6 linked regions of the Ovis aries genome follow. The protein of the gene in region 1 interacts with the protein of each later gene in a pairwise test. Links are inferred from orthologs where the notes say so. Each region holds a gene or a part of one and is shown in the gene's direction. Other genes may lie near its edges.

Evidence for each region.
Region 2: the proteins of TRIM23 (region 1) and BAG1 interact in binary tests that used the Homo sapiens proteins (3 or more experiments, as listed by UniProt). The two-hybrid records come from large-scale screens. The link is inferred for Ovis aries from reciprocal best matches to the Homo sapiens genes TRIM23 and BAG1.
Region 3: the proteins of TRIM23 (region 1) and NEK6 interact in binary tests that used the Homo sapiens proteins (3 or more experiments, as listed by UniProt). The link is inferred for Ovis aries from reciprocal best matches to the Homo sapiens genes TRIM23 and NEK6.
Region 4: the proteins of TRIM23 (region 1) and TROAP interact in binary tests that used the Homo sapiens proteins (3 or more experiments, as listed by UniProt). The two-hybrid records come from large-scale screens. The link is inferred for Ovis aries from reciprocal best matches to the Homo sapiens genes TRIM23 and TROAP.
Region 5: the proteins of TRIM23 (region 1) and SORBS3 interact in binary tests that used the Homo sapiens proteins (3 or more experiments, as listed by UniProt). The two-hybrid records come from large-scale screens. The link is inferred for Ovis aries from reciprocal best matches to the Homo sapiens genes TRIM23 and SORBS3.
Region 6: the proteins of TRIM23 (region 1) and KLHL42 interact in binary tests that used the Homo sapiens proteins (3 or more experiments, as listed by UniProt). The two-hybrid records come from large-scale screens. The link is inferred for Ovis aries from reciprocal best matches to the Homo sapiens genes TRIM23 and KLHL42.

The regions. Positions count from the first base shown.
Region 1 is NC_056069.1:14,049,208-14,053,487, forward strand, and holds the start of TRIM23 (E3 ubiquitin-protein ligase TRIM23), read left to right. Parts: upstream 1-1,480; 5' UTR 1,481-1,526; coding exon 1,527-1,607; intron 1,608-4,280. Other genes in the region: TRAPPC13 (trafficking protein particle complex subunit 13), read right to left, coding at 737-782.
Region 2 is NC_056055.1:37,884,422-37,888,583, forward strand, and holds the start of BAG1 (BAG family molecular chaperone regulator 1), read left to right. Parts: upstream 1-1,362; coding exon 1,363-1,417; intron 1,418-1,468; coding exon 1,469-2,158; intron 2,159-4,013; coding exon 4,014-4,142; intron 4,143-4,162. Other genes in the region: CHMP5 (charged multivesicular body protein 5), read right to left, coding at 300-404, 1,202-1,270. UniProt on the Homo sapiens protein: Co-chaperone for HSP70 and HSC70 chaperone proteins. Acts as a nucleotide-exchange factor (NEF) promoting the release of ADP from the HSP70 and HSC70 proteins thereby triggering client/substrate protein release.
Region 3 is NC_056056.1:11,506,180-11,509,679, reverse strand, and holds part of NEK6 (serine/threonine-protein kinase Nek6), read left to right. Parts: intron 1-1,482; coding exon 1,483-1,593; intron 1,594-3,500. UniProt on the Homo sapiens protein: Protein kinase which plays an important role in mitotic cell cycle progression. Required for chromosome segregation at metaphase-anaphase transition, robust mitotic spindle formation and cytokinesis.
Region 4 is NC_056056.1:136,912,021-136,915,977, reverse strand, and holds the start of TROAP (tastin), read left to right. Parts: upstream 1-1,157; 5' UTR 1,158-1,358; coding exon 1,359-1,416; intron 1,417-1,495; coding exon 1,496-1,650; intron 1,651-1,742; coding exon 1,743-1,929; intron 1,930-2,607; coding exon 2,608-2,765; intron 2,766-2,854; coding exon 2,855-2,992; intron 2,993-3,184; coding exon 3,185-3,267; intron 3,268-3,745; coding exon 3,746-3,798; intron 3,799-3,957. UniProt on the Homo sapiens protein: Could be involved with bystin and trophinin in a cell adhesion molecule complex that mediates an initial attachment of the blastocyst to uterine epithelial cells at the time of the embryo implantation.
Region 5 is NC_056055.1:43,085,711-43,089,210, reverse strand, and holds part of SORBS3 (vinexin), read left to right. Parts: intron 1-492; coding exon 493-686; intron 687-1,733; coding exon 1,734-1,797; intron 1,798-3,500. UniProt on the Homo sapiens protein: Vinexin alpha isoform promotes up-regulation of actin stress fiber formation. Vinexin beta isoform plays a role in cell spreading and enhances the activation of JNK/SAPK in response to EGF stimulation by using its third SH3 domain.
Region 6 is NC_056056.1:187,628,290-187,631,789, reverse strand, and holds part of KLHL42 (kelch-like protein 42), read left to right. Parts: intron 1-2,573; coding exon 2,574-2,767; intron 2,768-3,500. UniProt on the Homo sapiens protein: Substrate-specific adapter of a BCR (BTB-CUL3-RBX1) E3 ubiquitin-protein ligase complex required for mitotic progression and cytokinesis. The BCR(KLHL42) E3 ubiquitin ligase complex mediates the ubiquitination and subsequent degradation of KATNA1.

The DNA.
Region 1 (4,280 bases):
TAATCCAATCAAATAATCAAACTTACTCAGAACTGTATGCTGTATATAGAAAATGAAACTTGATGCGAATTTTCCCATACACAATACTCTGAAGTAAACTGCAGTGAGTTTTAACAAACCTAAATTATATGTTGTAGTACTACGCATTTCTAAATGCTTGGCACAATACTAGACTAATTTCACTAAAGCTGAAGCCTGGTAAAGTTGTCACTGCCGAATGAAGAGACAAGAGACAGGGGGAAAAACCACTTTAGATACCCGCTATTAATCATCTCGGTTCACACAGGTCTCTCCCCGGGTAGGGTGGGAACTTCAGCATCTGCGGCTAAAATCTGTTTGGTGGCTTCAGCAACATATAACAGGGTAAGTAATTTACCAGGTATCTATTTCATTCTAAGATGAGTAGGAAATGGCAACCCACTCCAGTATTCTTGCCTGGAAAATCCCATGGATAAAGAGCCTGGCGGGCTATAGTCTATGGAGTTGCAAAGAGTCGGACATGACTGGTTGACTGAGCACTCATATTTCATCCCGTCGCAGGGGTCTCAAACCTAAAAAGTGAAGAATAGCTTCCTCTCGCTCCACGGCAAGAAACTGAACAGGAGGGCGAGCACTGACTGTTTAAGAAGGACGAGATCTACATCCCAGGGGTCAGGTCTACGTGCCAAAAGCTGCAAGAATTAGTGAGAAAAGGGGAAAAAACAGCGTAGAGGAAGCCGGGTTCGCAAAAATTTACCTTTCAGGGCCAGCAGGTGCTCCTGTTTGGGGGGATTCACCTCCATTTTGACCGGCACTTTGAACCCACTGCCTACGGAGGCTGAAGAGGTTCACTTAGCTCGGAAGAAAACAGAAAGCCTAAGTTCCGGAAGACCGCATCACATTCCCAATCGTTTCTTCTCTGCTGGTGGTGCCTTAAATTCTCTTACCACGTCCTTTAGCGACTCAACGGCTTCCTTTTACCAAAGCCATCTCTTGCCTCTTAGAGATATACATAAAATACTTCTCTATTTTCCAGCCACAATCACAAACCGCGACTTCAAGAAATCACTCCTCGGAGACAATACGCGGCCCTGCAAATACCTACATCTCCCAGTAACTGCTGTAAGATGTGGCATGCTGGGATTTGTAGTTCAAAAGCCGCAAAGCCTGCAGGGAGATGAAGTCCCCTTTCATCCAGTGCGTTTTACAACTGGGGAGAAAAGGTCTTTACTGGAACAAGAATTTCACCCCAAAACCTTACTTCTGTCTTAACCCTTATCTTTTGCTTTAATTTTACTCCTCTCATCAAATTGGTAGAAGTCTGACGGAGACTGAAAATCTCCAGACTCTTCAATAAAAATAACAAAGCTCCCATTCGCAAGCCTCTGCTGGCGTCAAAAGGTGCGAGGAAGCCTCCTCGGCGGGGCCCGGCGTCGTAGTGCGCCTGTGCGCCAGCGGCAAGCGCCGAGGCTTCTGGGTAGGTGGCTTTACCCCGCCCCTCATGTGAAGGCCTTCTCGGCTGCTTCAGTGGCGAGGCTCCTTCTGGGATGGCTGCTCTGGTTGTAAACAAGCCTGGAGCGGGACTAGACAGTGGTCGTCAGGGCAGCCGGGGGACGGCCGTGGTGAAGGTGAGGGACCTTGCGTGCTCTGTTCTCCGCCATCGGCCTCCCTTCGGTTCATCCCGGAGATCTGGCTTTTTTTTGGGCGGGTTGCGCGGACTCGGGTCCCTCTCCGCTTTACAAGCCTATGCTTCCCCTCCGGACCTTTATCCCTGCAGGCTTGAGGTTACCGGGTCTCCTGGTCATTCTAGTCTTTTGTAGTCGCCAACGGGGACTTTTGTGAAAAGGATCCTATGGGCCTGTGAGAGTGACCTGGGCTGATCTTTCCTCAGGCCTTCTGTTTTTAGCTAAGCCCAACAGACATTAATAAGCTTATTTTTATGAAATTGATCCATTATTATTGACAGATACTATCTTAGATATTTTACCTCGTTAATATCTATTTATGAAGTAATTGTTGATTCTAGTTTTACAAGTGAGGAAACTCAGGTTTCGGTTAACACTGTAGCTGAGCCAGAATTGACTGCTCTAAAGTATTCTTTTCGTTAAAGCACTACTTCTTTTTAATCAGACCTCTGTTATTGGTTGACCTGCCCTCTCCTCTTTTGGTAGTACGGGTGTTCAACAGCCCCGTTAATGCTCGGGAATATCAATTACCCTATGTTTGAAGTTTGAAATTCTGCCATGTTTAAATGCTCTAAAATGGGTTTACCAAAAATTCAGTTGAAATAACCGTAGAATCCACTTTTCCGTATATAGATAGATCTGGAAGGGAGAACTGATCTTAATAACCTTTAGAATCCCCTGTAATCTCAGATAGTGCTAATTCGTATTCCTGGCTACATATTACTGAGGACTTGAAAAAAAAAATACAGACACACACAAAAACGATTTAATCCCCTAGTTCAGCTTAAGTTGTTATCAGTATATTTTTTTGCATTCCCAGAATACTTTTAATGTGCAACTAGGGTTCAAAACCATTGAAGGAGATATCTGAAATTCTTTTAAGATCTTGAGTAATAGGCACCTGTGATTTTTCATCTAACGTTGGTTTCATATGACAACGAATGATACATTTTTGCCTTCAACTATATTATCAATCGGTATTGGTGGTTGTTGATTCGTCTTTTAAATATTAATAAAGTTATTTTGAAGATACATAGCATATCTGAGATATGAAGCTGCCCTCATTATTTGGCTTGTATGATTGAGATTTTATTTATTGAATTGTGCTTTTTCTAAGTAGAGAATACCTGAAGATTGTTTTGTGAAATAACCTGAATTAAGAAGTAATAGGAATGTATATTACTACTGTCTCTGCTTTTGTTATCTTGTTTGTCTTAAAATCTGAAAAATATACCAAAACCTGATGTAACTCCAGTTTATTAAAGCACAGAGATTGGTAAATTAGAGGCTCATTTTGTTAATTTTCATTTTTATCTGTAAAACGTGACTGAGATGTGCAGTAGGATAGTCCTTTTTGGCAAGAGCCTCATGCGGTAATTTGTAAGATAAATTACAAATCAAATTAAAAAAAATCCTCATGGCCATTGTTACAGATGGAAGTAAGAAGTGTTCATTGGAAGGTAAAAGTTGAAGTATATAATGCTAATGTTTGTATCTATAAAATGACTTCCTGCTTTATGAACGAGTTGCTAGAGTTTTCTTGTTAGGAAAAACAGACAGAAATTGGATATGAAATTATTTATCTCCACAAAAGAATAGTGAACTGCCTTCAGTTCAGTTCAGTTTAATTGCTCAGTTGTGTCTGACTCTTTGTGACCCCATGAATCGCAGCACGCCAGGGCTCCCTGTCTATCACCAAATCCCGGAGTTTACCCAAACTCATGTCCATCAAGTCGGTGACGCCATCCAACCAGCTCATCCTCTGTCATCCCCTTCTGTCCCGTCCTGCCCCCAATCCCTCCCAGCATCTGGGTCTTTTCCAATCAGTCAACTCTTTGCATGAGTGGCCAAAGTATTGGAGTTTCAGCTTTGGCATTAGTCCTTCCAATGAACACCCAGGACTGATCTCCTTTAGGATGGACTGGTTGGATCTCCCTGCAGTCCAAGGGACTCGCAAGAGTCTTCTCCAACACCACAGTTCAAAAGCATCAATTCTTCAGTGCTCAGCTTTCTTCACAGTCCAACTCTCATATCCATACATGACCACTGGAAAAACCATAGCCTGGACTAGACGGACCTTTGTTGGCAAAGTAATGTCTCTGCTTTTGAATATGCTATCTAGATTGGTCATAACTTTCCTTCCAAGGAGTAAGTGTCTTTTAATTTCATGGCTGCAATCACCATCTGCAGTGATTTTGGAGCCCCCAAAAATAAAGTCTGACACTGTTTCCACTGTTTCCCCATCTATTTCTGATGAAGTGATGGGACCAGATGCCATGATCTTCATTTTCTGAATGTTGAGCTTTAAGCCAACATTTTCACTTTCAGTTTCATCAAGAGGCTTTTTAGTTCCTCTTCACTTTCTGCCATAAGGGTGGTATCATCTGCATATTTGAGGTTATTGATATTTCTCCCGGCAATCTTGGTTCCAGCTTGTGTTTCTTCCAGCCCAGCGTTTCTCATGATGTACTCTGCATATAAGTTAAATATCAGGGTGACAATGTACAGCCTTGATGTGCTCCTTTTCCTATTTGGAACCAGTCTGTTTTTCCATGTCCAGTTCTAACTGTTGCTTCCTGACCTTAATCCTTTGAAAATATGGCCTCCTTTATTAAA
Region 2 (4,162 bases), on another chromosome or scaffold:
AGTCTGAGCAGGCCCAGCCTGTCCTGTCCAGATTGCCGCCTTCTCAGTAGAGTATGCTAATTCCCAGATACATGTTTCTGGATGTGTGATCAACATCTCTCCACCAGGTCAAGGCCCAGTTTTCCTCTCATATCCTGCTGCAAACTCTCCTCCCTGAAGGACACAACATCACATATGTTTTCGCTTTACCAGACTGTGAGCATCTCTTCTATATTTCTCACCAGCCCTTACCACAGGCCCTACTTCCACAGGTACTCAAATCAAGGTGTCACAACTTCTGCAGGAGCTGTCTACCTTACCTTTGCAGGTCCCTCCCTCATCTTCTTGATCTGATCCTTATACTTCACTAGTTCAGCATCCAGCCGAGAAATCTTCTTGTCAATGGATTCTGCTCTGCTGTCCACCTTCAGCGGAAAAACATTATAGGCAGTGGAAGTTATTGCAATACAAAAGTGGTAGGAGAGGAATGAATAGAGGAAGAAAGGAAAAACAAAGAGCATATGGTGAAGGTTGAAAACAGCAATTCCTAACTGTGGGGAGGCGGGATTCTCCGAAATCCTGGGGGGTGGGGTTTAAACTGTATTCCACCCCCCTAGATTCTCATATTCCAGGGGCATCTTCAAGTGTTTGAGCAGAAAAAGAATTTGAGAATCACTCGACTGAGTCGAAATTTCCCAAGAATTGGTGACTAGGCCAGCAGAGGGCTCAATAAGAAAGTGTATGAAACGAGTTACTGCCCAATGGACCTCGGCTAGGGCTGTAGAGCTAACGCCATTCACTTGGATAGAAGGTGGTGGCCTAATGATAGGGGCTAGAGTTCTGAATTTTGTGTAACAGATCCAGGATTGGGTTACAGATATACTGAGCTAGGATATCAAGCCGAGATTCCTGACGTCGGAGAAGGATGAGGGACGGAAGAGGAGGGAGGAGTAGGGCTGGATGAGGTGGTAAGGGTGTCTAGGCCGAGTGGACGCGGCACTGAGCACCAGAGGGGGTGGGGCGCAAGTAGGGTTAAACAATGATGGGTTAGGGGTCCCTGGTTTGTGGCGTCAGAAATGACTTGGGTAACAGGAACGAAAGTGGGATGGAGAGAGCTAAGCTGTAATGGGCCCGGGAGCCAGGAGTCGACGCCGAAGTCGGGGGTGGACGGGTTAAGGGGTGTCAGGGTTCCTGAGCCTAGTTAGCAAGTCTAAGTGCCCACCGTGCCAATGCAGTCAGTCAAGCTGGGCGGCGGAGCCTTGGGTTTCGCTTTCCCGAAGAATCGGTTCATCTTGGGCGGCCGCTAAGAAAACCTAAACACTGGAGCAAAACCAGAAACGGAAGCAGAGTCACCTCCCTCTCCGACTTGACTTCCGGCCCCCCATGCGCAAGCGCAATGTGCCTATTGGCGTTTCCCGATCCTTTTTCCGGATTTTCAGCCTGATCTTCCGGGGAAGGGGAGCTCCGGGAAGTTGGAGGTGAGGGACAGAGAGTCGGCAGGGGGCGTGGCTCCGGTGGCGGGCGTGGGCGTGGCCCCAGATAAGCCAGGCGGGGCCTCGGCTGAGTGGGTGGGGTAGGGGGCGGCTTCAGAGGAATAGAGCCCGGCTGCAGCGGGGCTGCTCCGAGGGGCGGAGCCGGTACGCCCGGGAGGGGCGGGGAAGTAGCCGAACTGGGGTGGAGGGCCCCACGCTAGCTACCATCGCTGGGCGGGCGACCATCGCGGGTCTGGCGGAGCGCGGGGGCGCGCGAAGACCGCGAGGCGACCGGGAGCGGCTGGGTCCCCGGCGGCGCGCGCCTCGGCCGGGCCGGGAGCCGCGCCAGTCGGTGCCCCCAGCCGAGCGAGGTCCGCCTCCCTCCCAGAAATCAGCCGTCCGGAGCGTGACCAGGGGGCATGCCGGATCCACCAGAGGCGCCGCCGCCTGCGCTCGCAGGCCGCGGGTGAAAAAGAAAGCACGGCCTCGCTCGGCCCGGAGCGAAGAGGTGGCCCGGAGCGAAGAGGTGGCCCCGAGCGAAGAGGTGGTCCTGAGCGAAGAGGTGGCCCGGAGCGAAGAGGTGGCCCTGAGCGAAGAGGTGGCCCGGAGCGAAGAGGTGGCCCTGAGCGAAGAGGTGGCCCGGAGCGAAGAGGTGGCCGGGAGCGAGGAAATGGCGGCAGCCGGGCTCAGCGTGACCGTCACCCACAGTGAGCGTGGGCTGCCGGGTGGGCTCCGTGCTGGGCCGCGAAAGTCCGGCGTGGTCTCTGGGTTTGGTCGCGTGCCCTCCCGAAGTGTGTGTCCTTGTCTTTGGAGTCCAGAAGAGTGGGATCTTGTGGGACCGGCTTTTTTTTTTTTTACTGGTCTGTCAACACACCTTTCCACGTGGCAGGTGTATTTTGTCTCAGGCCATTTGTTAGATCCTTGATGCTTCACGTCGTGGTCCTAGTTGTATGTCTTAGGGTGTGCCTGCACAGTTGTTGTGGGCCTTTGTGCCTGGCTTGTATTTAGCCATGTTGTCTATGTCTGTGTATCTGGACATCTACTTGTGTGCAGGAGTCAAAACTCATGTGTGCTGTTTAAGTGAGGCGTGGGTTCCAGCGTACTCTCTGGGCACCCTTGGGGTCTGTTTACTGTTGGAGTTGACACAGAACTAGGCAAAGACGGTTCTCCAGGGAGCTGAGTACATAAGGTTTCCTCAGAACCAACTAGGGGAGACCCCAGGGCCTCAAGAACCTGGAGACCAGGATTCTGCACATTTGGGTGACCTTGGGATGTCTCCTTTCTAGGCATCTGGTTTCTTCTATGCAAAATAGAGTTGGTAACACCTGTCCCGCTGACTTCATGGCTGTTAAGAAGGCTTAAGGCTTGGCGTGAGGCACTGGACACAGGCTACGCCCTTGCTGTCCACATATCCAGAAAAGAATTGGCACCTCTGCTCCAAAAAGAAATTTCTGCTGTTTGAGTTTTTCCACTCATTTGTTTATTTATTGGCCACACTAGGTCTTCGTTGCTTTGCTCGGGCTTTTTCTAGTTGCAGCGTGCAGGGGCTACTCTTCCTTGAGATGTGCGGGCTTCTCACTGGGGTGGCTCTAGGCATGCGGGCATCAGTAGTTGTGGCACACAGGCTTAGTTGCTCCATGGCATGTGGAATCATCCAGGACTGGGGACTGGACCTGTGTCCCCTGCCTTGGCAGGCAGATTCTTATCCATAGCACCACCGGGGAAGTCCCCCTCATTTATTTTCTGGGCACCAACCGTATGTGTCCAGGTGTGCCCAGTGGGAGAGACCTGGAAGAAAAGCAGTTCCTTGCGCATTATAGCAAAGGAGATAGAAACAGTTCCTCACCCAGTACAACACAGAGGAGAGGACAGTCAGGTCAGAGGAGGCAAATGGCTTTAAAGAAAAGCACAGAATTTGAAATCAGATAGATCTGAGGTTAAGTTCTGATTGTAGAGATGGGTCCCACTAGGCAAGTCTTAACTGGACTGATCTCACATTTTCCTTATTTGTGAAATGAGGAATAATAGGTAATACCAGCTTCATGGGTACTTCATGGGGTTGTTCTGAGGATTAATTAAGGTTATGCATAAAATAAGCATGCTGCTGCTGCTACTGCTAAATCCTTTCAGTCATGTCTGACTCTGTGCGACCCCATAGACAGCAGCCCACCAGGCTCCTCTGTCCCTGAGATTCTCCAGGTAAGAATACTGGAGTGGGTTGCCATTCCCTTCTCCAGTGCATGCATGCACGCTAAGTTGCTTCAGTTGTGTCTGAATCTGTGCGACCCTATAGGCAACAGCCCACTAGGTTCGTCCGTCCACAGGATTCTCTAGGCAAGAATACTGGAGTGGGTTGCCATTTCCTTCTCCAAAATAAGTCTAGTCAGCCCCTTACACATGTTAAATGCTTAAAATGTTAGCTGATATCACTGATATTATTAGTTCCTGTAACAATTCCCAAGGAGACAAAAATCCTTGAGCAGGTCTTAAAGGCTGGGAAAATGAAGTGTCAGCCTCTGTTTATTGGTTTGTGTTTTCTTCAACACTTTTCTCTCTTCCCAGGCAATGAGAAACACGATCTTCAAGTTACCCCACAAGAAGGCAATAGTGAGCCAATTGTCCAAGACCTGGCCCAGGTTGTTGAAGAGGCTACAGGGGTTCCGCTGCCTTTTCAGAAACTCATATTTAAGGGTAAGCCTTTCTCTTCCAGC
Region 3 (3,500 bases), on another chromosome or scaffold:
TTTGGACCCAGTTGTGATCCCTGAAACTCTGATTCCCCAGCCCTGGGGAGTGGCTGTCTGGATCACACACCCCTGTCTCCCTACTCGTGGCCAAGAACACACGTGTGTTGCTCACGTGAGTAAGGGATTGTACACGTGTGCACACTGAGCCAGCCTGTTTGGTTCTTGGGCTCAGAACTGAGTGATCACAGCCTCTTTGGTGAGGCCGCCCCAGGTGGCATGACCCAGGCCTGCCTGGTGCGGGGGCTCTGACCCGCCCCCAGGCTGCAGTGCCACTGAGCGTAGTCAGCTGTGGGCTTCGCAGGCAGATACACCCCTTGCTCACTAGCTCTGGGGCCGTGGGTAAGCTGCTGACCACCTGGGGCCTTGGTTTTCTCATCTGTCTAAGGGGTTGATGACGAGAGTGCTGTCTTCAGAGGTGTTGTCGTGGGATTAGTGAGAAGATGCATTGAAAGGACTCAGTGTAGCATCTGGTCAGAAGCAGCCCCCATTGCCATGGTTATAACCTCTGCCACCAGGCCAGACCCTTTGCAGAACGTGACCCACCTCGCCAGCCTGCCTGTGGGAAGTCAACAGGATGTGCCAGGGCACGGGGTGTTTCCTACAAAACAGAAAGAAGCACGGTCCTTAGAGGGGCCACTGGGCGGCATCATTCATGCTGTTCATGCCAGGACCAGTGAGAGGCTGCCAGGAGGGGCGGAACAGTGGCGCAGCATAAATACGTGCCCTTCACATAGCACCTTCTGGGCCTTTGGAAAAATGTGCTTTCAAGTGGCCTCTGGGTGGGACCCCCGCTGGACAGGCTGACCATGCTGTGGCAGAATATTTGAGTCCCTCTGCCTTCCCTAGATCCTGGGGTCATTTCGGTATAGTTTAAGTCGTAAGGAATGCCAGGGTCTCCTGTCAGCCGAGCAGGGTCTGACTTCCGGCCAGTGGGGCGCAGTCCTATCTGACGATCACACGGGCCACGGTGATCAGGCCAGAATCAGGGCTTCATCACTGAGCACCATGCTCAGGGCAGCTCTCACACCAGGAATGATGTTTTCTCAAGATTTCACAAAGGGTGGGTCAGAAATTGAGAAAGTGGGAAGGAAGAAGGAAGGAGATGGACACTTCCAAGTATTCCAGGACCACTGAGTACAGAGGTGGAGTGGTGGGGGCCTGGCCCTACCCTGGAGGGGCCTGGGTGGTGCTGATGATGAAGAGGAGGAGGGAGAAAAGGGTCATTTCCACAGTGTCTGTTGAGTCTTAGCTGCAAGTGGTCACCATGTAGATATTTCAGGGGTATCAGCCCGTGTAATCTTCACAGTTTCTCTGCAAAAGATTATGCCCATTTTACAGAGGGGGACACTGAGGCTCAGGGATGCAAAATGGCTTTCCCAGTGTCACCCAGGTCTGCAGGCCATTCCCCCCAGATACTCGCCTCTCCAACTGTATCATCTCTCACTGACTCCATCTCCCTCTTTTTCTCTCTTTGGGCAGCAATTGAACCATCCAAACATCATCAAGTATTTGGACTCATTCATTGAGGACAATGAGCTGAACATTGTGCTGGAGCTGGCGGATGCGGGTGACCTATCACAGATGATCAAGGTGAGGGTGCCTGGCGGGAGAGCTGGGTCTCGGGGGACTGCCCAGGTCAGGTGCCCCCCTACCTCAGCCCAGATCCCCCAGTGTTCTGGCCTCAGGCAGAGGCAGCCACTCAAGGACACTCGCCCCCCACCCCCCTTGCTGATGCCCAGAGGCCTCAGTTATGGTCCCATCCACACTTGCTGGGAGAGGGTCAGCCACAGGCAGAAAAGACCCATCTGTGGTCCCTCACCACCCCAGCCCACCCATGGGCTCATGCCACTTTTGCCTCGCAGAAGGGATGGGGTATAACCCCCTGTAGGTCAGACCCCAGGTCTCAGACTCTGGGAAAGTGTCTTCTGCCTCATTTTATAGAAGGGAAAACTAAGCCCAGAGAGGCTGGAAGAGTTACCTGAGGATCCCCAGCAACATGGGGACAGACCCGTGCCTGTGGCCCAGGTCTCTGCTTCCAGTGGCCCTCCGGTGGCATCATCCCCAGGGGACCTTCCTGAGCCCCTCACCCCTTGAGAGACATCTTCCTTCCCATATAATGGGCGAGGTCAGGGATCTCAGAGATTTTAAGCAACCTGCCAAGTCCCACAGCAGCCCCCAGACTGCCCGTTCACACCCCCGCCTTGAGCCCAGGACTGGGTCCACCTGAGCCTGGACACGGGGACCATCACAGCCCCACCGATGGGGCACCCACTGCAGGTCACAGCCGTGCTGAGCATCTGCCTCACTCACTGAGTCCATACTATCCTTAAATAGCGAGGCTCAGAGAGGTTTTGTCACCTGCCTGCGGTAGCACAGTCTCTAAATGGGATCCCTGGGCCAGCGTGCTCAGCTTCACTCACCCCTCCTCCCTCAAGGTCCTCACTCCCCGGCTGTCTGGACCCTCATCCACAGACCGTGTTGGTGGGCCTGCATCGCTCCTCCCCCGAGCCCAGTCTGTCCCTGAGCGGGGCTGGGCCATGCTCGAGCCCCCACTCTGCTCCCAGCCATACTTGCAGACGGTCATAGACGCTGCGTCTTTCCCACCAGGCACTGGGGATTGAATGATTGCTCGGTACCTGCTCTTCTGAAATTTGGCTCCTAGGAATACGGGCGTCTCTGGGAAGCAGCATTACTTGAGCTGTTATCACCTGCTTTTATACTTTCGTTGACATATTAATGCGTTTGCAGGGATGTTAATCTCCACGCAGATCCCTGGTGGGAACAGATGTGCTGTATCACATCTCACTTCTCCCCCGCTCCCCTCACTCTTTTTCTCCTTCCTGCGTCATTCTCTCACTGAATACCATGCATCCAGACCCGCTCTGTGCCCACCCCCATGCTGCTGGCCTAGGCACGGCCCTCAGGGAGCGCGCCTTCTGATGGGAGAGCAGACCTATGAACGAGCAGTCACGCACAGCCATGAACAAGCCAAGTTCAGGGTCTGTGGAACCACCTTCCTGGAGGAGGTGACATGTTAGCAGGGAAGGCTTCCTGGAGGAAGTGACACATTAGCAGAGACCTGAGGGGAGACCTGCAAGCCTAGAGGCAGAATAGCTTGTGCCAGAGCCCAGAGGGATAGAAGCCCAGGGTCCACAGAGCACTTTGTCTGGTCAGGGTGCTGCACCCTGTCAGCCCCCATGGCCCTCAAACCCCCTCCCTCACAGCCTCTCAGCTCATGGAGGGGGCTGGAGTCAGACAATGGGGAGTTGGGGGTGCTGGGCAAATTATAGATCCCTCCCCTACCTGAACCTCAGTTTCCACTGCAGTTGTGGGGGCCTCATCGGGGAGGGCCGCTCGGGAGCTGCAGGGCCTGGATGCAAGCTCCTTCCATCCAGGAGAAACAGGAGGGAGGTGTGGTGGCATCCAGCATCCTTTGCACCTGGCCTGGGGTGGTGCCTCCCCTCACCCCAACTTACCCTGGGCCAACCTTGACCCAG
Region 4 (3,957 bases), on another chromosome or scaffold:
GTGTAATTAACGGCACTCCACTATCTGCATTGTCCTTCTGAGTGAGTTTGTTTCCTGGAACACGTGGCTACAACAATGTGGAACAAATGTGTAAGGATCTTGTCTTTTTTTTCCTCTTGCATTGTTTCAAAAACAGTAACAGACTGGAGTCAGGCTGTTGTTGTTTAGTCACTAAGTCCTATGCGACTCTTAGTGACCCAAAGGACTGTAGCCCACGAGCCTCCTCTGTCCATGGAATTATCCAGGCAGGAATATTGCAGTAGGTTGCCATTTCCTTCTCCACGGTGTAAGGTAGCCCAGCAGTTGGGTCCATTGTCTTTCATGAATTGTACTGTGGCCTCCTTTCTGTAGTATAAGAAAAAAGGAGAGAGAGAGAGAACTACAAGGGGGGCTCTGCAAAGACTGCTGTAAAGGTGAGCACTAAACACAGGATGTGATTAGCATTGAGTTAGAATGTAACTAACAGAAGCTACAGGTACACAATGTAGCTCATTTAGAGTTTAAAGGAGATACATATAGAATGTAGCTTACATATCAAGTTAGCCTTGATTACCGACTACAGATCCGGAAGTTAGAGTAAAAAAAAAAAGAACTCAGAAAAGGACAAGAGAAAAAGGAAAACTTTTTTCTCTTTTTCACTGTAACCTTTCATTTTTGTTATTGTTAGTTCAATTTTCTCCAGACCTCTCCGCCCGTTTGGAGGCAGCTCCTCGACCCAGGCAGACTTTTCCCACAAAGCGTCTGGACAGGGTCCCCAAAACTTGACGGCCTAACTCTGATCAGAGCTGAGTCAGGGGCTGGGGCCAGCCTCCAACACCGTCAGCTTGCCTCACTCAGGACGCAAGCCCTTCCACAAGGCCGACTGGACCTTCCCGCACCAGTCCCGAGACCTCGCGAGAGTTCGCCAGCGCCCGTTGTTGCCCAGACTCAGAGCAGACGCCTTCCTGGACCTCAGAACTGTCTCCTCTTTCCTCTTCCACCCCGCGCTCGGCTTTCCGATTGGCTGGTTGAGTCGGGTCATTTTTTTTTCCTGGCCAGAAAGCGGCTCGGCAACTAGTCCTTCTTTTGGCCCCGCCTCCGAAGCCTGTAGATTGGATAGCTGAATCCTGCGTCACGCGCCTCCGCGGGAGCGCAGACGAGCCAATCAGGAGCTTGGCGTATTTTACAAACTGGGGAAGTACCTGGAGCAGAGGCCGAGAGAGTCCCGGGAAAAAGCGAAGAAAGTGGGCGAGACCCTGAGGGGTTCAGGGGGAGGTGCGGCACGGAGATCTTGGAGGGAATGAGGGCTGCCGGGGCTCGTAGGGAAGAGAGGCAGTTCGGGGTCCCGGGACGAAAGTGTAGGCTCATAGTGTCAGGAGATGACCGAGAAGCGCCCTTGTAGGCGGCGGGTCTTCTGGCGCGTGGATTTGGGCGGAGGTAGGAGTATCTGGAATGTCAGGACCGAAACCTCGAACTGGCTGACCTTTGATCCCTGATCCTTTTTTCTCCTTTTCAGGAGTAGTCGTCATGACCACCCTCCAAGCCACGAAGGATCCTCTCCTCCGGGGTGTATCTCCCACTCCTAGCAAGATTCCCATTCGCTCTCAGAGACGCCCACCTCTCCCCACAGTCAAACCCAGCGCCCTGGACCAGGAGAACCAAGATCCAAAGGTAAGAGGAGCCTGGGGGAGTGAAGACAGTAGCTACAAGGAAGCAGCAATGCACCTCAACGCTGAGCTCAGCTTTTTTCTCCCCTATCCTAGAGATTGGGGCAGAAGCTCAATATTCAGCGCCCCCTCGCAGACTCAGCAGGCCCCAGGCTGAAAGCCACACGTCAGACAGAGCAATCTGAGAAATTGCTGGGGAGCACTCAGCTCCGGAACCCCTTGGAGGAGCTCAGGCCTAGCCATGGGGATCAAAATGTGGGCCCTAGGCCACCTCCCCAGACAGGTATCTATTGGAGGCTGTAGAACTGGGTGGGAGAATGGGTTGGTGCAGTGGGGTTTGGGGGCTTTGTAATCCTGCCTCTCCTGCTTACTATAATTCCTAGTCCCTGCTCCTAGAAAGCTCTTTGCTGTTAGAGGCCCTTTCTTTTCTTCAGCAATGTGTCATCACTTCTAAAGCCTTTTCTGGCTCCTCTAGTCACTATCAATTGCTCTTTGTTCTAATGATTTGCTGAACTTTATTTACTTGTTTGTTTATTCATTCATTTATCCATTAATTAATGCATTCATTTATTAGATGCAATTTATGGGATCTTGGTTTCTGGACCAAGGATTGAACCTGGGCCAAGGCAGTGAAAGCACCAAGTCCTAATCAGTGTACCGCCCGGGAATTCCCTGCACTTCTTTTATAATATGTCCATACTTTGACTTGAATCTGTTACCTTGCTCTAGTTTGATGTTAGCTTCCTGAGGATGGGGGCTTTGTCGTATTCATCTCTGGGTGGCAGTGTCTAGAATAGTGTCTTATGCAGATTAAAGTCCTGTGAATGTTTGTTGAGCTGAGTTCAGTTATATGAGTCTCTTTGGCTCATGCACCTCAAGGTGACAATGCTAGGCTCCCCAACCCCTCAGCCTCCCCTCCTTCCTGTCCCTCCTCGCCTTTCCTTTTCTTCTTCCCTTGCAGAGGCTCCAGGGACCGTAGAGTTTGTGGCTGACCCTGCAGCCCTGGCCACCATCCTGTCAGGTGAGGGGGTGAAGAGCTGTCGCCTGGGGCGCCAGCCCAGTCTGGCTCAGAGAGTACTTGTTCGAGGGAGCCAGGGAGGCACCATCCGGAGGGGTCAGGTAATGAGCCGGGATAGGAGGAGATCAGGCTGGGGTAGGCTGAGGAGGGAATCCTGAGTCTGTACTGAGAGTCTTTTTTGGGGTCCCAGGATGCCCGGGCCTCTGCATATTTGGCCCCCAGAACCCCTACCCATCGACTGGACCCTGTCAGGGCTTCCTGCTTCTCAAGGCTGGAGGGACCAGGGCCTAGAGGTCGGACCTTGTGTCCCCAGAGGTTGCAGGCTCTGGTGAGTGTTCTTGAGGGGCTGATACTAGGTGCTCCTGGGGACTCCTTCTAAGGACACAGCTGGGCCTTGGGATGGAGGGTACCGCCTGGTAAGCAGAGGGGTTGTATGGAGGCTGATGGGGTTGGTGGTGAAACCTGAAGGTTTGGAGCCTGCTTCTGACTCTCCTTTTTCTCTTGCTCCTGTGTGGCTCAGATTCCACCTTCAGGATCATCCTCTCACCCCTCCGCTCCTCCCTGTTTCCAGGAACTAAGAAGAGAGACCAGTGGCAGCAGCAAGTAAGGAGGGGGTCATTTGGAAAAGAGTGCTTCAGTGTCTGTACAGGGGTCCCTCAGGGCTGGGCCCTCTGGTAGCTTTAGGACTTCCCACCAGCCTGGGGGCGGGGAGAGGGGAAAATCTGTGAATGCCCAGGGTGAACCCTTGCAGTAAAGTTCAGCCTCAATATGGCATCAGTTTCTTCAGGTTGTGAGGGATGGAAGGGGAAAGAAATGAGAGGTACCATCCCTTGTGTAGTGGCTCGAGCTTAGATTGTGGGAACAAATGGGGTTTGGGTTTGATTCCTGACTCTCAGCACTTACAAGTTGTTCAAGCTTGCCGTACCTGCCAAGCTTTAGTTTCTTTAGTCTGTCAAATGAGGACAATGTTTGTATCATCATTTGAAGTTGTTGTGAGAATTAGATGTTTGTAAAGCACTTTGCATGGTGCCCAGCTCATATGTGGTGCTCAGTGACTGCTTGCCACTGTCCTTGTCCTCAGGACTTCAGTGAGCCAGCCCTCAGGATCCCTTCCGGAGACCTCTGTGGAGCCTGGTGAGTGTGTCTGGCCATGGAGAGAGAACGTTAGCTGGGAGCCTGCTTGTAGGGAGCAAACCGAGAGAAAGCTCGGGAGGGCTGTGGCAGGAAGGCCAGATCAGGAGGAGGAAGAGACCTTCTTCATAGGCCAGAGGTTTGCCCGGTTGCACTTGTGTC
Region 5 (3,500 bases), on another chromosome or scaffold:
CCCTGCAGCTCTGCTGTGACTACCCTCATTTTACAGAAGTTGGAAACAGGCACAATGAGGTTGATTGCTGTGCCTAAGACACACAGCCAATAGATCTGCACTCAGGTCTTTGCCCCCAGCCCCGGGCCCTTTTCTGCCACATCCTACTGTCTTCCCCAGCTAGAGATGCCTCTAGCATTCTCTGCGTGTGACAGTTCCAGCTCTCATTCTAAAAACTCTGAGGACATCCCCAACAAAGCAGGGTGGGGTAGGGACAGGCATAGATTTCTCAAGATAAAATCCATTTTCATTCATTTTAATTAAAAAGTAAACAAACAGAACCCTGTGGTCCTGCCAAGGATGAGGACATTTGTAGAGTCTGCGTCATCAACTTAGACAAACAAGGGGTTGTTGAAACTTTTGAACCCACAGGGCTCAGTGGTCTGAGGAGCTGAGGGACAAACAAGCCTAGGTGGGGCCCTTTGCTGAAGCTCCTCTCCATGTACCCCACAGACCCTGCTTGGTATCAGACCTGGCCGGGCCCTGGGAGCCGGCCCCCTGGGAACCAGAAGACCCCTGCCTCCCAGCATTCCCAGAAGTGGTCAGCCACATGGACCAAGGACAGCAAACGGCGCGACAAGCGCTGGGTCAAGTATGAGGGCATCGGGCCTGTGGATGAGAGCGGCATGCCAATTGCGCCCCGATCTGTGAGTCCAGGACTGGGGCTGCTGATAGGTGGGGCCCAGGGGTCCACCCTGAGTTCCACCTCTGACACAAAGGCTGTTCCCATAACTAAAGCAGGGGTTCAACCATTATGGGTCCAGGGGATATGAGCCCCATAAAATTATGAGCACTCTGGCATGTCTGAATTGTACAAGTGATTTTTTTTTGGCGGAGGGGAGCAGTACTAGACTACCCCATAGGTTCTCGATGGTAGAGAGCCACTACTGTAAGGGCTGACCCTGGCAGGGACTGCCCTGCTCCTCCATTCATGGCCCTGGGCCTGGCACGGCACTGGTGAAATTGTTGCTGAGTAAGTGACTGACTGAATGGGTGAATGAAAGAGTCCTGAGTGAGGCCTGATGGAGCAGCAAGCTTGGAGGATCTGAAGGATTTATGCTGGGAGGACCTGCCCTTCCATCACTCCCAGGCCTACCCTGAGCCAGCTGTCTGCCTCTAGTTCCTTATCGGAAACTCAGATGGGTAACATAGCCCTCTGCTTCCCAAGGTTCTTTGGCGTCACAGGTGAGGTAGAGGATGTGAAATACCTTCCTACCCTACCCCCCACCAATACTGTTTATTTTTCATTACATAGAAACACATGTTCTTTGTAGAATCATCAGAAATACATAGAAAGAAAAAAACATATATAAGCCACCCCAGATCTCACAATTAAAGGGTCATCACTGGTGGAGATTCTTCCATATATCTGGGTATTTTTTTTTTTATATAATTGAAAAAATACTTTTTTGGCCATGCCACACGCATGTGGGATCTTAGTTCCCGGACCAGGGATTGAACCCATGCTCCCTGCATTGGGAGCACTGAGTCCTAACCACTGGACCACCAGAGATGTCCCCCTTCTGTATATCTTACTCAAACATAACAGACGACACGGAGGTATTGTTACTAAAGATGTCACAACAGCCCACCCAGGGAGGCTTCAAGGGTGGCCAGAGAAAAGACCCAACGAGGAAAAATGTCTGTGGTTTGATGTTGGGAGGGTGGCCTGACTTTGCCTTCTTTGATCCCAGAGTGTTGACAGCCCCAGGGACTGGTATCGAAGAATGTTCAAGCAGATCCACCGGAAAATGCCGGGTGAGACCCTCTTCTGGGGCCCTCTCTCTGCCTTAGTGGGCTTGGGCCTCTGGGGCATGGGGAGCGAGAGGTAGACAAGGGGACTTACCTGTCTGAGAAGTGTCTCCACTCACCCTAGGCTCTGTGGTGAGTTGTTGCTAAAACAGGCCAAAGGAGGGAACTGCCAATCTCCTCCCTGTATGGGGAACACTGACCAGACACTATCCCCAGTGAGGGTCTGGGAAGCCGTGCAGTCACACATTGGTCCAGTCAGTCCCTTAACCATGTGTTTAGCACTTGCTGTTTGCTGACTACTATTCTAGGTGCTAAAGACAAAACAGAGAACAAAAAAAGGTTGTTCCTGCCTTAGTGAAGCTTGAGACAGAAGGCATCACAGAATAAACACATAGACATTTAATATGGCAGATGGTGGTAAGGGCTAGGGAGAAAAGGTCAGGAGAGTGCCCAGGGCAGGAAGGCTGCCACTTCACGTGGGCTGGTCAGGAAAGGCCCCTGAGAAATGGCATCTGAGCTGAGAGCTAAGGTTGTGAAGGAGTTGTCCCTGCAGGGCTGGGGGAGGAGTGTTGCTGCATGGGAAGCATGGGGAACCCAGAGGCAGAGCAGGCCAGATTTGTTTTGGGGCCACAGAGAGGGGCTGGACTGCAGTGAGAGGGGCACGTGATGGAGATGGAACACAAAGATGCTGGGGTCAGGTCACCCAGGGCCCTGGGCTTTCACTCTACAAGAACTGAGGAGCCCCCGGGAGGCTCTGAGCTGAAGAGTGAGTGACAGGCTCTGACAGGTGGTGGCTGAAGTGACTCCCTCTGGCTGCCAGGTGGGGAAGAGATGGGGCCGAGTGGAGGCAAGGGACCAGTCAGGAGGTCTGGCCAGAATCCAGGCTAAAGACGACAGTGTCTCAGATCAGGGCAGTAGCAGCGGGCCTGGTGGAATTCTGGAGACAGAATCATGGTAATCTGATGATGGATTGGATGTGGCATGAAAGAGACCAGTCAGGGATGAGTTTAAACCTGAGTGAATCTATGAAGTTGCCCTTTATAAGTGTATATACACACAGGAAAGGCAGGGAGGGGTTGTGTGTGTGTGCAAGTCTAAGGGGCGTTCCATTTTAGATACGGTTCAAACAAGTGGCAGTTGATGTTTTTGAGTCATGTCTGACTCTTTAGCGATCCCATGGACCATAGCCCACCAGGCTTGTCTGTCCATGGGATTTTCCCAGATAAGAATGCTGGAGTGGGTTGCCATTTCCTTCTCCAGCGGCTCTTCCCCACCCAGTGATCAAACCTGCATGTTTGGCATTGAAGGCAGATTCTTTACCACTGAGCCACTGGGCAGCTGATAAACAGGTCTGTATTTCCTAGGGTGAGGCTTAAGCTGCAGATGGAAATACCAATGACCCACTCAAAGAGACTTTTGGTGTAAAGGTCCCCCAAGTAGCTCCGATGTACAACTAAGGTTAGGAGTCCCTGGAATAGGCAATATTTTTTAAGCTAGAAGACTGGACCAGATCACCGAGGGAGATGGAGAGACAGAGGCCCAGGGACTGAGCCTGAAGCACTTGCTTGGAGAGATGGGCAGGAATCAACTAGGCTGCCTGGGAAGGGGCAGCTTGGGAGGCAGGAGGAAAACCAGAGTAGTCTCCCTGAAGCCAAGTGACAAGAAATTTCTAAAGGAGGACATGAACCTCTGTGACAGGCTGCTGCTGA
Region 6 (3,500 bases), on another chromosome or scaffold:
AGCATAGTTCATGTTACTTAACTTTGAAGGATTTCAAGAGCTTTTAATTTCTTCTAAGTGAAGTAGAGACTAGATCACCATCTAATTTTTCTCACTTTCATTTCTATCCACTGTTTAAGTCAAGTATGTAGCTACAGCAAATAATTATTTGATTTAAAAATCCTTTTTGCTTTCTGAATGGAGGATGTCAAGGATCAGTATTAGGAAAAACCCTATAAAAATGATAATTAAAGTAATTGCTATCTTGGATTCATACCTTTACCCTGCAGGATGTGAAGAATGGAAGACTTACTTTCAGAGAATGGGAAAGGGCAAGAATTTATGGACATGAGGGTACTTTGTACAGAAATCCAGCAGGCTGTACTTTGTAGCCTGTGATGGCTGCAATTACCCGATGAGAAACTAATCCTCCTGAGGTTAAGAAACGCGCAGAGACATGCAGGCAGTGATCTCTTTCTGTAGATTACCCTTCTTAACTCTTAACAATGTGTTGTTCTTTTCCCCCCTTCACAAGTGGGGAAATTGAGACTCAGATCAGCTGAGATTCAATGCCTTGTTCAAGGTCACAGAGCTGTTTAGCAGGAGGCTGAGACTTCCCCATACAAGCCTGGGTTCATAATCCTTGGCCGTCTGCCTCTTCATCAAGTGGCCTGTGTTTGGGTGGCAATTTCATCATAAATTCAATATTTAAAACGTTCTCTTTTCAAGTGAATTTGAGCATATTGGGGTCTGGAGAGATGGAGTTGTTTACTTTTAACTGCCTGTTCGTTCAGCCTCAGAAAGAAGTCCCTTACATATTGCACAGGACAAGTGATTATGCTGGAGGAATAGCAAACACTGTTTTGATCTTACAAAATTTACTATCTGTGTACCTTTGGGGAACAAAAACAAATTGTGGGCTGGTAAAATTTAGTGCTTATTTACAAGCTTTATTTCCTTTGGTTCCCCAAATTTACACACATAGAGAGGGCATCACGGTCAGATTTTAAGGACCACTGGCAGCAGGAAAGGTAAGCACCGTGAATCAGGGACCCCCCAGTAACTGCCACCCCGGTGAAGTCTGTTGGCAGGAAAAACTGAATGGCCGATTGGGTTTAATGGACAGTGTGAGGTTCTTGATGAAGAGTACTCTGTTCACTCTCTGATTTGAAAAACACAACTAAGCTAAAACTCATTTAAATGTAAACATTACAGGAACCATTGAAAAAATCCTAGTTTTTTAGTAGGTGGCTATTAGGAACATACGTTCCATATCATAATGTGTCATTGTTTATTAAACATCTGTCCAGCATGGCTACTTGTTCATTACCGCTTTTTAATCTACCCTCTTCCATGCTTTTTTCCATTTGAACATTTAGAGCCTCTGCACCCCCATTCTTTAGTAGGACATTGTTACTTTCGACAAAAGCATTGTGTTGGTACTTTCTGATATGCTGTGTGCTGTGGTTGTCTCCACCGCCCTGGGATGGGTGTGCTTGACACACTCGAGACGAAGGGCAGATAGCTGGTTATCGCCAGAGTAGGTCCAGAACCAGGTCTGCAGCTCTGTGCCGCTGCTTGTATGAGTGCGAAGTTGAGACCATTGCATGTATCCCAGTCAACTCACCCGGCACTTCCAAATGCTTATCCTTCCTGGCCTTCAAGGAGTCCATTAATCTCTGTACTACAGTGAAAGAAATTAATTTTTTCTTTTCTATCCAAAAGTCATGAGACTTTTATTTAGTATCTGAAGCCAATAAGCAATGTAATTGTATTACTGAATATGAATCTTAAAAGCAATACATTTCTCTTTTTAAAATTGTTTACTCTTGTGATAGGTGAGCATTTGTTGATATCTGTTATTTGTTGAGATCAAATGCTAGATCAAAATATTTCTATTTAGTTCAGTGCTTACCTCCCTCTACTTTGTATGTTACAAAGCAATGTAGAAGATGCCCTCATATGAGGATGGGTGAGCCATCTGCTTGAGTGAACTCATGGTAAATGGGTGTTTGGACCACCCTGTAGAAAACATATAGCATGTGCTTGTCTGTGTAGGCAGTGCTGATGTATACCTAGGATGGAGCCTACCCCCTGAGAGTAGAAACGGGCAAGGGAGTAGAGTGGGTACTTGCTCCCACTCTTGAGAGAGTATTGAGTTTATTTTTTAATCAATCTACTTATTATTGAAGTATAGTTGATTTACAGTGTTGTGAGTTTTTTGTTTCTGAATGAAGTATTTTTTACAACTATATTATTTTTTGATTGGATACAGAGGTCTTGAGTTTAGCATATACAAAGTATCTTTGATTCTAGGTTTAAACTAAGCAAGATTAGTCCTTGTTAAATTGAATTGCTTACCTTCAACAGCTAAAGTTTGGAGAATGCAGCATTCTTGTGGCTTCTTGGGGATGGGTGAAATCTTGGATGCTATTCCATCATTCCTCTGTCCCCAGGCATAACAGCACCCCGCTTGGAGAGCTCATTTCCTTCAAATACCCAGCAGATTCCACACACAGCTTTAGCAGATTGTGCCATGGTCTTTTGAGTGATCAGAAGAACTGACTTTGTGAGCCTTTGCTTCTCTCTTGCAGGTCTAACTTCAAGCTCGTGGCTGTTAATTTCAAACTCTACGCCATTGGTGGGCAGGCCGTTTCTAATGTTGAGTGTTACAACCCTGAGCAGGATGCCTGGAATTTCGTGGCACCCTTACCAAACCCTCTGGCTGAGTTCTCTGCGTGTGAGTGTAAGGGGAAAATTTATGTCATTGGAGGATACACTACCAGAGGTAAGTGAAGGCCTGGAAAGTGGTCCTCCTCCATGCGAGCTTTGGCAGCCTGGGGGAGGACGGGAGGGACTGGAGGAAGCCCTCTAGTGCACACCAGCCTGATGTTATGTATTGCTTACTGTATATTTACATATCTGGAAAAAAGAGCATCCTTTGGGACATCAAAGAGGGGTCTTTGATGCCTTTGTATGAACATGAAAATTGCATGGTGTGGGGGGAGCTGTGAAGAAAACATGTATTTTCTTCTTCCTGCTCTGGAAATCCCACCCTGTAGTCAGCCATCTGTGACTTGGCTGGATAACTCCTACCTTTCTCTTAAATGTACACTGAACCCGCCTTGTCTAACACTGGAATTTAGCGCCAATGCATCCTTGCAGGTCTTTCTTTTCACTTTCTCCCTTGTGTTTGGGCACAAACATATGGGATACAGATTTCAGAAATTCAGCTCCAGGCTGTTCAGGTATCATAGGAGGAACAAAAGCACGAAGAGTGTTCTTTCTTGACCAGCAGTGGGAGGTGGTTGTGCTGCTTATTAAACCATAGGTATGTGTTTTCTGGACTTTCCTGGTGGCTCGGATGGTAAAGAATCTGCCTGCAATGGGGGAGACGTGGGTTCGATCCCTGGCTCGGGAAGATACTCTGGAGAAGGGAATGGCAAGACACTCCAGTACTCTTGCCTGGAGAATTCCATGGACAGAGGAACCTGGCTGGCTACAGTCCATGGGGCTGTAAA